3 linked regions of the Neurospora crassa OR74A genome follow. The protein of the gene in region 1 interacts with the protein of each later gene in a biochemical or structural test. Links are inferred from orthologs where the notes say so. Each region holds a gene or a part of one and is shown on either strand. Other genes may lie near its edges.

Evidence for each region.
Region 2: the proteins of NCU02587 (region 1) and NCU01831 are reported together in a solved structure, tested with the Saccharomyces cerevisiae proteins (2 studies listed by BioGRID, with this or other methods). The link is inferred for Neurospora crassa OR74A from reciprocal best matches to the Saccharomyces cerevisiae genes TFB3 and SSL1.
Region 3: the proteins of NCU02587 (region 1) and NCU01625 are reported together in a solved structure, tested with the Saccharomyces cerevisiae proteins (2 studies listed by BioGRID, with this or other methods). The link is inferred for Neurospora crassa OR74A from reciprocal best matches to the Saccharomyces cerevisiae genes TFB3 and RAD3.

Annotation. Positions count from the first base shown.
Region 1 is NC_026501.1:2,825,132-2,828,568, forward strand, and holds NCU02587 (RNA polymerase II transcription factor B subunit 3), read right to left. Parts: upstream 2,174-3,437; coding exon 1,085-2,173; 3' UTR 563-1,084; downstream 1-562. Other genes in the region: NCU02588 (nuclear movement protein nudC, variant 1), read left to right, coding at 3,067-3,079, 3,174-3,385. UniProt on the Saccharomyces cerevisiae protein: Acts as a component of the general transcription and DNA repair factor IIH (TFIIH or factor B), which is essential for both basal and activated transcription, and is involved in nucleotide excision repair (NER) of damaged DNA.
Region 2 is NC_026502.1:2,258,484-2,262,724, reverse strand, and holds NCU01831 (RNA polymerase TFIIH complex subunit Ssl1), read right to left. Parts: upstream 2,830-4,241; 5' UTR 2,520-2,829; coding exon 1,990-2,519; intron 1,923-1,989; coding exon 1,043-1,922; 3' UTR 342-1,042; downstream 1-341. UniProt on the Saccharomyces cerevisiae protein: Component of the general transcription and DNA repair factor IIH (TFIIH) core complex, which is involved in general and transcription-coupled nucleotide excision repair (NER) of damaged DNA and, when complexed to TFIIK, in RNA transcription by RNA polymerase II.
Region 3 is NC_026502.1:2,932,107-2,936,508, reverse strand, and holds the start of NCU01625 (DNA repair helicase RAD3), read right to left. Parts: upstream 2,906-4,402; 5' UTR 2,386-2,905; coding exon 2,369-2,385; intron 2,289-2,368; coding exon 2,248-2,288; intron 2,189-2,247; coding exon 2,159-2,188; intron 2,096-2,158; coding exon 1,593-2,095; intron 1,517-1,592; coding exon 1-1,516. UniProt on the Saccharomyces cerevisiae protein: ATP-dependent 5'-3' DNA helicase.

The sequences.
Region 1 (3,437 bases):
GCTTGTCTGGTTTGTTCGGGATGACACGAACCGGCAAGTCACGCATCTAGCGCGGCGTTCCTTTTGCTTTTTGTTTTATTTTCTTTTATTTTGTATTTTTTGAGCTCAGCTCTTTTTTCTCACCCGCCTTCGTTATTCGATTCGGCAATCCTGATCTTTCGGTATTGTTGCCGCGAGTCTTCTGACGGTGCCCCTCCTTAGTCTACCGAAAGGACAGCCAATGTTCGGGTAAGCAGGGCGGTTTGATGCTCGTACCTTCGAAATGGGTGGCAATAAGGCAGTCAAGGATTGACTGTGAAGAGATCAGGCTTTTTTTTCCGCCGTCGAGTGCTTCTTAACGAGCAGGGCCAGATACAAGGCTTAGCAGCGCAGCGCAAGGGGGAGGGGGGAAGAATAGTTGGAATGGAACGCTACATAAAAACGGTGGAATGGGGTCCGGGCATCTCGAGATAAAGGAGTGAAAGAGGTATGGTATGATAAATGGTCATACCATCAAAACTTTCAGGATTGGCTGCCAACACTCTCTCCAGGAATGGCCAGCAAGGGAGGCATACACATTTTTGCAGTAGGGAAGCCTGGAGGCTCTTTTTGTTTGGTAAATCTTAATCTATATATTTTTTTGGGCATTTTTGTGATCAATCGACGCACTCTTATTAGTCTGAATTTCTTTTTCTTCTTCTTTTCTCCATCATCATCGTCGTCCCAATCCCTCACACAAAACGTGGTCTTCAGTGACCTTGATACTCCTTACAAGTAGACAGATGGCTTGATGGGTGGCAAAGAGTAGTGAATGTACTGCAGTTCGCCAAGTTCTGTCTTATGTGGCTGCTGGACTGCGACCATTCGCATAATGAATTTCGAACCCAGAAATCCACAGCAGACCCGAATATTTGCGCCCTCTAAAACCACCGAGTCTGAAGTTGATCTATATGATGCTGGTCCCGCCTCATGTGTGTTCCTAAATCCAGATCCGTCGGAGAGGAAAAAGAAAAATATTCAATCGCTGAGTGAACGCCGTCGCTATGCAACAAAAACACCATTACCGCCAACCAAAAGGCCGGGGCATACCGGTCCAGAACCACTCTCAGTCCAAATCCATCTTATCCGCGTCAACCACAGCGGCGATCCCCGCCGCCATGCTCGTCTCTTGTGACAGCCCAATACCACTGCCGACCTCCTTCTCATCCTCAACAAACACACCCAACCCAGCAAACGCTTCATACAAGGCGCGCGCCGCAAAGTCGTCAAAGCTGTACCCACCAGCAACGTGCTGTCTGTCCAACCGGTACTTCTCCATAAGCGGGTGACTCAAGCCTCCATGTAGCTTGTACCGACTAGGCGCGAAGTCCATGCCTCCAAAGGGGTCGTACGGGCCCTGTGGCGCCGGCGCCTTCGGCTTCTCCTTCAAGCCGCGGATGGACAAACGCTCAACCTCCGACGCGCCCGTGCCCATTCCCGTTGTTGCGATGGCAGGGTTGGAAGCTGTTTCAGCAACCCGATTCACCTGCCCACGCCTCTTTAGCTGTACCTTCGTCGCCGGCTCCGCTGTCATAGCAGTGGTTCCCTTGGCCAGGTTATCCAGCTCCATTTCGCGACTCCTCACCCTCTCTCTTTTCTCCGCCTCCGCCTCCTTGATAGCCTCAATCCTCCTCTGCCTGACAGCATCCCTTTCGGCTGCCAGCCTCACTCTTGAAATCTCATCCGCCTCCCTCCCCGCCTTCTTATTCCGTTCAATATCCGCCCTATGCTCCGCCTCCCATGCCTGCAATTGCGCCTCCGCCTGCCGTCTCCTCTCATCCGTCCCATTGACAAGTTCAAACGTCAAATCTTCCACCATCTGCAAGTAATTATTATAATCCTGGAGCGTCTCAAAGTCGTCCTCGACTTGGTTGAACACCGCCGCCACGCGACGGCGGATGTCGACCTCGCGCTCGACGGCCAAGTCGCCGAAAAAAGCCGAGCGGAAGCCCTTGCGACGGAGCGTTTTGTTGCAGCCGGCGTGCGGACATTGATTGGGTCCGTCGTTGAAGAGTCGGTTGGCACAGTTGAGACACATGGAGTGGTAGCATTCGGGGTTGAAGACGAAGACGATGTCGGGGTTGAGGTACTTGCGCGATTTGCAGACGGGGCACATTTCGTCTTCGAAGCCGAGGGGGTCGAGAGGGCGCGCCATGGTGGGTGGTTTCTTTTTTTTTTGGGGGGGGGGGGGGGGGGGGGGGGGTTGTTTTGATAATTTCGCTTCGAGGAGACGGGGATCGATGTGCTGAAGTGGGATTTCCAAAGGTTAAATGATGGCCAAGAGAAATGTATGCTGAATTATAGCGAGGAGTGGGCGTTTCCCTTCGAAGGGACAGTAGTCCGTATCTGAGAACTCGGGACGTCTCTTGATGTGTCGGTGAGTGAGTGGCGATCGCGGCCCAAATCTTCTTTTATATCTGTTTGGTGATCGTGATTTGGCGACGAGGACTTGTACTCGTCTTGTTAGGTGATGAAATGTTGTTCTAAAATGCCAGCTCGGCTAGGCAGAAATTCCGGGTCACGCAGTCATGTATCAACGGTGGATAGGGAAGGTGATGAAAATCAACCAAGTGGAAGTCTGGGTGAAACCCGAGTGAGATTGACGATGTGGTGAAAGAGGGACTGATAAGAGTTATTATGCTTGGGCTGAATAATCCTTGTTTCCACTTGGCCCCCAACCGCGCCAGCGCTCCAATGGACGCTACCCTGGCGGTGCAGGGTGGGGCTTCCCAGATCATTCACAGCACGGCACTCTGCCGCGCTCATCTGGCAGCTCTGTCTCAGGGGACTGGACGCGGGCAAGCGTGGGGTGAGCAGGGGCTACCAGGGCAGTGACAGCAGCCGCTCGCGGGCAGCTCCTAGGATTGGGATTGGGCGGCCGCAGCCGTTCCATGCGGGTTACCTGCCCCTCCAGAAATTCGGTCATCGCGTTCAGGCGCGTTCCATCGTCTTCTACTTACATTACCGCACATTGCACCACTGCACCACTGCACCAAGCTGCCGTCGTTGCCCAATATCTACACCGAATTCAACAATACCACCTTCAACATGGCTGACAAAGGTGCGTTTTAGAGCTCAACTCCTCTTGCTCCCAAGACCAGAAAGTCCATCCGCCATCAACAGGTCCCACTAGTCAACTGACCAAACAATGTCAGACGTAACAGAGCTCACCCCCGCCGAGGAGGCCGCTGCCCGCGCCAAGGAACAAGCCGAGCAGGAGGCTCTCCCCTACAAGTGGACTCAGACGATTGGCGACGTCGACATCACCATCCTCGTCCCTGGTAACCTAAAGGGCAAAGATATGGTGGTTGAGATAAAGAAGCAGTCTCTTACGGCTGGTATTAAGGGTCAAGAGCCCGTCATCAAGGTAACCAACCTACTTGCCCACATATCTACAAATCACAACCCTTGCAACTTTC
Region 2 (4,241 bases), on another chromosome or scaffold:
CGATATGGCTTCAAACCGAGAAGTAGAGCATGAAAGTAGCTTTGGCATAGTTATGCAAATCATGTGATGATTTTGACACGTGCTTACATAGTACTTTGTCATTCTGAAATCAGCTATGTGAAATTGTAGGTAATGAGCGAATTCACGGTGGTGTATTAGCTTCGAATGAAAACGAGGGGTTGAAACATTTTGTTGACCTGTTCATAAATCGCCAGTCATGATCGCCCAACAAGTTCCTTTCGCATTCTGCTCTTCACTCGTTTTTCACCACGCACTCCTACCTACTTGCATATAATTTGTCCGATTTGTTCAAGGGCAGGATTTTTCCTTTATCGGAACATCACCGGAACCGTGTAGACATATGAAGATTAGCTATTTTAGTACGCTACTTGATGATGCTGGTATGGTCTCAAAATCTCACATTGCCGTATCACTCCACATCTATGATTCGTTGCGTGCCCGTCCTCTCTTTCCCCTCGTCACAAGGGACTCTACCGATACGCAAAGAGTCTTCTTGATCATTCTTCCATAACCATATCCGTCTCCCATCTCCTTCACAGATGCGCCACACCCAACGAATCGTCTTCTTGAATTCATAGGACCATTTCACATCTGTTGGATCCCGTCATTTCTTTAGCCCTTTCGCTAGTATCCCTTTGCACTGCCTTGTTGGTAAAGAGCATGAAGAAGCCATGACCCCGTCGTCTCTAGTTATTCGGCTGGTGTCCCTTACAGCTTTGGTTTTGGGAGTTCCACTTTGGACTTTCTTCTTAGCCAAGTCGTCTGGGTATATTTTGATCGTGATGCCGTGTATATTTTCGTGTTCTTTGCAGCGCCAACCCCTCCATGTAACAGATATGTTCGCCATACCCTTAAAACTGCTCTGTTTCGGGTCATCGTATCGTTTTCGTTCACGATACCATACTATCGATGCTCTTAACCAGAGTGGCCGGTTCGGTTCCGCCCGAAGAATCTGAAACGTTCAAGCGGAGCGGCTAATTGTTGTCCTCCATCTGCCGCCATTTGTAGCATGCTCCTCACTCTAGGAATCCATCACCATGGGTGTAGGGCCACCGTCTGGTACTGCTACTGCCGTATCCTTCTCCACATCCCTCGTATCGCTCTGACACCCAGGACAATTATGAATAGTCTCGTGGGCAAAGACATCACAGTCTATGCAAAAATGATTTCCGCATACCTGGCAAGCATACCGCCCGCTTTCGCTGACACCCTTGAGTTCCGGTTTTGGATTTTTCTGCTCGCCGTCCTGTTGTTTCCCGCTACCTTTAGCTCCGGCTCTCCCTCCTAACACAGCTGGCGCTGCCGCCACTGAATCCCTTGGCCTAGCAGGAAAGGGTGTCAGGCACGAGTAGCACGCCGTCGACTTATACGCCTGAGACCACGGAACCTCCACAAACACCTTGAGCGGGAACAGATGATGGTACGACCTCGCCAAGTGCGTGCTCTGGATGAGCGTCAGCTTGCAGATCGGACAGTCGATCGGCAGCCGGCACACTTTGATTCCGCAGCGCGGACAGGTGTACCCCTCGCGCGTGGGCTTCGCGTGGCAGGCGCAGAAGCTGACATGGTCTTTCGGAGCAAGCGTGCGGCTGGGAAAGCCCATCATGAGCAGGCTGGCGGTGTTTTGCTCGGGCGTGCGGGTGACGGGCGGAGTGGTGGCGGCGAAGAAGAGCTCCTTGAGGTGCACCTCGTCTACGGCGACGCTGTAGTTGCCGTCGTGGTTGTTCGTCCGCTTGCAAAGCTCGCTGCAGATGGCGACTTGGCCGGCGAGGCCAACGACCGAGACGCGGATGCGGTCGGCTACGAGGTCGTTGATGGTGTCGTGTATGTCGCCCGGATCGATTGAGACGAGGGCACCGTAGATTATCAGTATTTCGCGCGTGGCATGTGACGGCGTTTGACTGTACAAAAACATGAAGCGGTTAGCGAATGACCTCTGTCACGGAGGGGGTGGGCCGTAGCGCTGACTATAGAGCACCTCGGCACATTTGAAGTGCATTCTGTAAACTCGGATTTCCTTGGGGGTCTTGTTGCTCGCTCCATTGCATCAACTTTTCGATGTGCTCGGCCGGATTCCCGCTCAGGTCGCTTATTCGCACAGCAATTCCATCGCGCATTCCCACGATGCCTAGCTGACTGATGGGATTCTGCTCGAAATACTCGCGTACGAAGCCAATGGCGTTATTTAGGACGACTCGGTAACGGTTTGGTAGCAGATCTTTGTCGGCCATGGCGAAACTCATGTCGAGCACAAGCATCAGATGGCGGATAATTCCACGCTGAAGAGGTGTCGTGTCGCGCAGAAGGCGACGCCGCTTCTCGGCCTCCCGAATCTCTGCGATGGAGAGGCCGCTGTCCGCTGTTTCCAAGACGGTATCCCAGGAGCGCTTAACATCTTCCCATGACGCCTTGGTTTGCTTGCTGCGCCCGTCCGCTGTCCTCTTTCCATGCCTCTTGAGCTCATCGTCGGAGGCGTACTCGCCGTCCGAGTCAGCCATGTTTGCGTATGTTTGTCGGGATAGTTTGACGGATAGTAGCTGGCGCTCTTAGTGGGAGAAGCTCGAGGGTCACTTCGAAACGAGTGGAAGGTTCAGAAGTTCGATAATCAGGGCCTTTAGTCGTGTTCGTGTAGACAACTCCCTGGTAGGTGTTGATCGGGAGGCCGGGTACTGGTTGTCGCGCTGAAAAAGTGCCGGAGAGAAATAAGAAAGAATGGAGAAAAGGGGATACGCGACGACGTTGAATGCACAAGCTGAACAAAGGTTCGTGGTGTGTGGTGGAAGCCGGAAATGTTTACTGGACTGCAAGGCTGTTCCCCAAATGCGCGAACTCGTGTATGTAGGCAGCCTCGCAGGAAGAGTGGGGCCTGTGAAATCGAATCAGATCGGTGCTGGGTACCGACATCTCGTTTGTGTAACTACGGGCCTCGAAATTCGACAGCGAAATCTGGTTCCACCACAACTTCAAAGCGAAGGTCAACTCTGATTTGAAGCTTGGTTACGAGTCACGACATTCAAAGGACGTGCATATGTGTCAAGTATATACTACATGATGTGCCCGCTACCCAGAAGGGCCACTGGATTGTCTTGAGGCGATGTAGGGCTATGCCTTCGGGGGCCTGCGACTTTCACATGCTTGTGCCCGGGGTTCACCAGACTGTTGAAGTAATCAAGAACCTCAAAGAGTATGTAGGCATACAAGGCTCAAATAAATCATGGATCGGTCGTCGTCGGTACTGCGGGGGTGCGTGATACTTGTGCGGTCAAATCGCTTGGCAAAATGGGAATCCCACGTGGAAAACGGCCAGCCAGGGAGTCCAACTGTCCGTTCCGGTCCGGATTCCGGGCACGGGCTCTCCCGAATTCTAGAGTCCAGACGACGGAATGGGGTCCACGGCTTTGATGTGTCCATATATCCGTTTCGGTATCGTGGTCCAATGAATCTGCAAGGTCACCAGCGAGACAGACACCGTATGGCGTGAGTCGCATGTTTCGTGATGTGGTGAAACAGGTAAACACCGACCCTTACCTTGAGCGAAACAACTGTCACAGTGCAGTGCACAACTAGCAATACTTACTGGAGATGGGGGAGAGAAGATCGAAGCTAATTACTGCATCGAGTTATGTACATATACTCGATGAAGGAATGCAGTAAGATGCGACCTTAAAGCGGACCGCGTACTTGGCGTGATGTGCCCGACAGAAGCTTCGTAGCGAGGTATTGTAGGATCGTGAAATGCGATGAAAGGTTGCGCCGTGGAGTAGCCTCGCCGTTAGTAGTAAGGCACATGTAGATGTGCCGGCCCCGTGCCGGCCCGTTCCAGCTCTGCGGTTGATCGTGGCTCGCCTGCGACCTACGCGCTGACAGGTGGCCAATAAGAAACGCCAACTGGATTGACGTTACGTCACGGCACCTTCGGCCGAGGTTTCCAAAGATCCCCGCTCACTGGTCAACGGCCAAGACTGACCTGTGCCGCCTCTGACGTAATACCTCAGCCGCTTGTATGGGCGCAATTGATTAACCAACTCGCGATCAGTCGTACGCGGTCGAAATTTTCACACAAAAAGGGCCAGATTGTTCATGGTCCTCCTCGGTCGCTGCGCCCAAGGAATGGTTTATTCGCCTCCAGGTTCTGTATGGGAAAGGGGCAGTATCGTGTACGCCATTTGGCCCCAAACGATGGACAAACCTGTACCTGGAGCTTTGCCAGAATCAGATCA
Region 3 (4,402 bases), on another chromosome or scaffold:
TGTTCGCTTCCAAGAAAGCTTGGTTAATCCACTTGGGCAGCTGCGCGCGCTTCTTCATGAAGCGCCGGTCCGCCAGCACCATGACTCCGTAGTCGTCTTTTCCGCGCAAGACGCGCCCCAGACACTGCGCGGCGTGGCGCATGGCGTCGAAAGAGAGAAAGTCGTTTTCGCGGATGCGGTACGTTTCGCGCAGGAACTCCAAGCGGGCCTTGAGGATGCGCGACTCGGTGTACTGGAAGGGCACGCCAATACAGAGCACGGTGCGGCCGTACTGGTGGTCAAAGTCGATGCCTTCGGACACTTTACCGCGCGCGACGCAGAGCAAGATGGCGCCGCGGCCGTTGCAACAGGCGGTGCGGTACGTCTCGAGCGCTAGCGAGGTTTCTTGCGCGTCTGGGGTTTCGACCAGAATGAGTTTGTGCTTCCACACTTCGTCGAGGATGCCCATGCCTTGCCACATGGAGATGATGGATTCCATGTACAAGTACGAGGGAAAGAAGACGACCATGCCGTCGGGCGTGATGCGGGCGAACTCGGTCAGGAGATTGCCGTAGTTGCGCACGACGCTGGGCTCGTTGCGGACTTGGAAGGAGGTGGAGATGGAGGCCTGGTCGGAGCCGCGGGTGACGATCATGGGGAGGAAAGAGCGGCGGGCGAGGGTCATGGCGTAGGATTCCTGCACGACGGTTTCGAAGTTGAGCATTTTGGGGTACATTTCAAGGGGGGAAATGGTACCGGAGGTGATGATGACGGAGCTGAATCGGTCGAAGACGGGCTTGATGGCGATGGCGGCGTCGAGGCAGGTGAAGTGCAGGACTGGGTTCGGGGTCTTGGCCGTGTCGGATTCGTAGGGCTCGAGGATCAGTAGGAAGCCCTTTTCGTAGGTGGCGACGAGGGTTGCAAAGGTGGCTACTTCTTGGAGTGGCCGGTAGTCTTCAATGTTGGTGAGCTCGAGGGTCCGTACTAGCGAGGTTAGACGCTCGGCGCAGAACCGGAGCGGTTTCTTCTCGATGAAGGTGTATTCTTTCAGGTGGGCGAGGAAGGATGGTGGTGTTTCGGAGATGACCTGGCGGACCTTCATGCGGGTCTTGAGGTATTCGATGAATCTCCGGAGGAAGGCAACGAAGTGCTCGGCTCGCCTGATATTGCCGGGGACAGCCTCCTTGAGCAGATCGTCGGGTAGTGTTGGGTTAGCCATAAAAGCATCCTCCTGTCGCCCTTCATCTAGACCCTTGAGTCCTTCGACTAGCTTTTCGTACTCGGACTGAAGTTTCTCTTGATCAGAGTCCTTCATCTCGCTGATTTTGGCCTCCAAGTTCTGAGCACCCCTGGTTGCCCTCATCAGTGAGTCCTGGGTGATGTCGGTACTTAGAGACTCGATGCAGACGTTGTCGATGTTGTGAGCCTCGTCAAAGACGACGATGCAGTCCTTGGATAGATCCTTGGACACGCGCTCGGCGATCTTGGGGTCTAGGAGGTAGTGATAGGAGTAGATGATGACGTTGCAGTGTTGCATCTACATATGAGCTGTTAGTATGTATGGCATCTCGAGCTATTACATCCGCATCCTGGGGTGTTGAGAAGAGACCTACCATCCTCCTGGCAGTGAAATAAGGACACTGTTTCTTTTCCTCGCCATACCTCATCAGGCCATCCAGTGTCCAAATTCCGTTAGGGATCAAGTTATGCGGTTCTAGAAGGTCGAGATTGTCGTGGTAGACGCACGTCTCCACATTCTCCCCCTTTTCCCTCTTCTCCTTGACGAAGCCGGCCGTCAAGCTGCGACACCTCGCGTCGACAATGGCACCGCTCTTCTCCCGCTTGACCGAGGGATGCAGACACAGGTTCTTTCGACTTGTCAGACCGAGACCGCGAAACTCTTCTTCGTGCCCCAGCCGCTCGGCTCGGAACTTCATGAGTGCTCTCAGCTCAACGAGGGCCTTTTCGATTTCGGACATTGTTCGCGAGCAGTAGATCAGCTTCCGGTGCTCTGGGTAGTATTGCTGGTAGGCGACGATGAGTGACAAAAGGGTGACGGTCTTGCCGGTGCCCGAAGGCATTTCCAGGACACAGTTCCCGCCTGCATCGAGGGTTTCTGTGGGGAGTGGTGGTGGTCAGTGGACGTGTGATGAGTGTGAGCTATTTGTTGAATGCTCACTTTTCAAGTCCACCATGTACGCATATTGTTCTGTGTAGTCGGTCTGTCAGCACTTGTGATGGTGTACCAATGTGGATGAGCTCACATACCTGGATATATCCTTGGGTAAGGAAACAGAACTGGGAGATCGCTGTTGTTTGCCGGCAAGTTAGTTATCTGGTTTTTTACAGACCAAGAACGCGAACGCGTCATCTCGGATTTGGCTCTTACTCGATGTTGAACTCCATGGTGGGCGTGTAGTATCACGGCCTTGGATACACGGACAAAGGGAAGGAATTACGAATGGCTGCGCGGGCAGCAGCAACGTTGATGAATGTTCTTGCTGGTTTTACTATGTCGCAGAATATCTAATCGACGCGGGTGTCCGGATGGAGAAGTGCGACAGGGCTGATGCTTAATATGGTCGTTTGATGTTCTATTTCGATGTTTGGTTTGGTGAGAAGCGAGAAGTCGTGAAATCGAGGTCAACTTTTGGCATGTGTCTGCACGCTGGAGCTTCTATCTTGGGTCTTGGCGGGGGCAGTCGTTCGTCTGTTCTTCGGTATTCAAAGGGGCCTCCTCCCTTGTCTCAAGTATGCAGCCTCAGGTCTTCCCCTAGACCGCGTATCTCTATTATTATGGCTGTTTGTATTGCGCTTGTTGTTGTATAGATTTGTGAAGTCGAGAAAGCACGTGCCAAGGTTGCCTGGCGGTGGCCTGTGGCGATCAGCTTCAGGACAGGATCTCGGTGGATTTGATGGATCAATGATGTGCTGTTTCTGGGAATCCGGATCTGGCACAAGGTCAGGTACGGTGATACTTTTACGGTGAGCTGCTGCCGGTCCGGCACGCTTGTTGCCGGCCCGCTGATGCCGGATTGACTGCAGTGAGTGTGGACCCCCCACACGCACAGTCTTTCTCATAGTTCAATTGCACTGTGGCCTTCACATTCAAAAACGACTGGAACACCACAACTTCATCGTCACTTCCACTTCCTCAGCAGCCTCTATATTCATATTTCCTTTGCGCACACTCGCTTCCATGCTCAAAAACTGGTGCACAGGCCGCGCTGATAGAGGTAGTCCGTCTTCTCTTAGTGATTGCAATGCTTCAAGTCTACAGCAATCGGCGGACTTGGAATTTCCTCGGATTCGGATTATACGATAACTATCAGTGTTGGTACTTCCGCGCTCAGTACGAAGGATCGCCATCTTGCCGATTATCTATCAGTCCATGGGTCTTATTCAAAAGGAAGATTAAAAAAACGACCGATGGAAAGACAGGTCCTTCAAAGTAGCGGGAAAACGAAAGCGCCAAAACAAGCTGCAAGAAGGGAGAAACCTCATCATCTCAGACGCTTGAAATCAACGATCGGGAGCAAATAGATTAATTCCACCTCTCACTTCAATACCGTCCGTGGAGTACCACGGCGATCCTCAACACTTTCATATCTCTCAGTCACACATGCAGTATCTCAGCATAACCTTTATGTGGCTGTCCCGTAGGTAGTTGTTGGAATCCAAGAGCTCAAAGTTCCCACATCGACTCGGGAGTCACCCACCACTCTTCATGGAACGTCAACTGACTGCCAGGTACATATTCCACTTTGGGTGGTGACTTTGATACCCCGACTCTCGTATGCCACCACCGGCGGTTGTTGGCGCATGAGTGAATACGAGCAGCGACTGTCACGATGGAAGAAAAACGGGGCTCATCAAATCGCGGCGGCGGCGCTTGTCTGCTCATTACTACTTAACCGCCGGTTTGGAGCAGCAGCAAAGTTCCCAATTCCAAGTAGGTAGACTTCCGAAGGATTCCCAAACCCCGCCGCGCGGTTGCGATCCTTCGCCCCGGACTTACTTCCATATCTACACAGAGGTACTCAGGGTGGGTGCGTGGTGATGGGTGTATGTAGGTAGATAGGTAGGCGCGCCCTTGCTGCCGTTGAGTCTAGATCGGGGCGAGGGAGGGAGGACGGAGGATTTGAATCGACTCCCCGAACGCCTCCTACTTGCATCAAATCGGCTGTCAGAGGTGAGTAGGTACCTTACCTAGAGGTAGGTAGCCGGGCTGGTACTTATAACTTGTTTTAGACGCCGCTGCTGTGGCCGTCAGAACTTTAACTGACTCCTCTTCCCTCCTCTACACGGCGGTGATGATTAGTGATCGGAACCCACTTGAGAGAAAAGGGGGGAAGGGATGGATACTGATGGAGGTGGTTAGTTGGTGTCGATTGGTGTTTGGCATTGTTTCGGCAATTGCAGT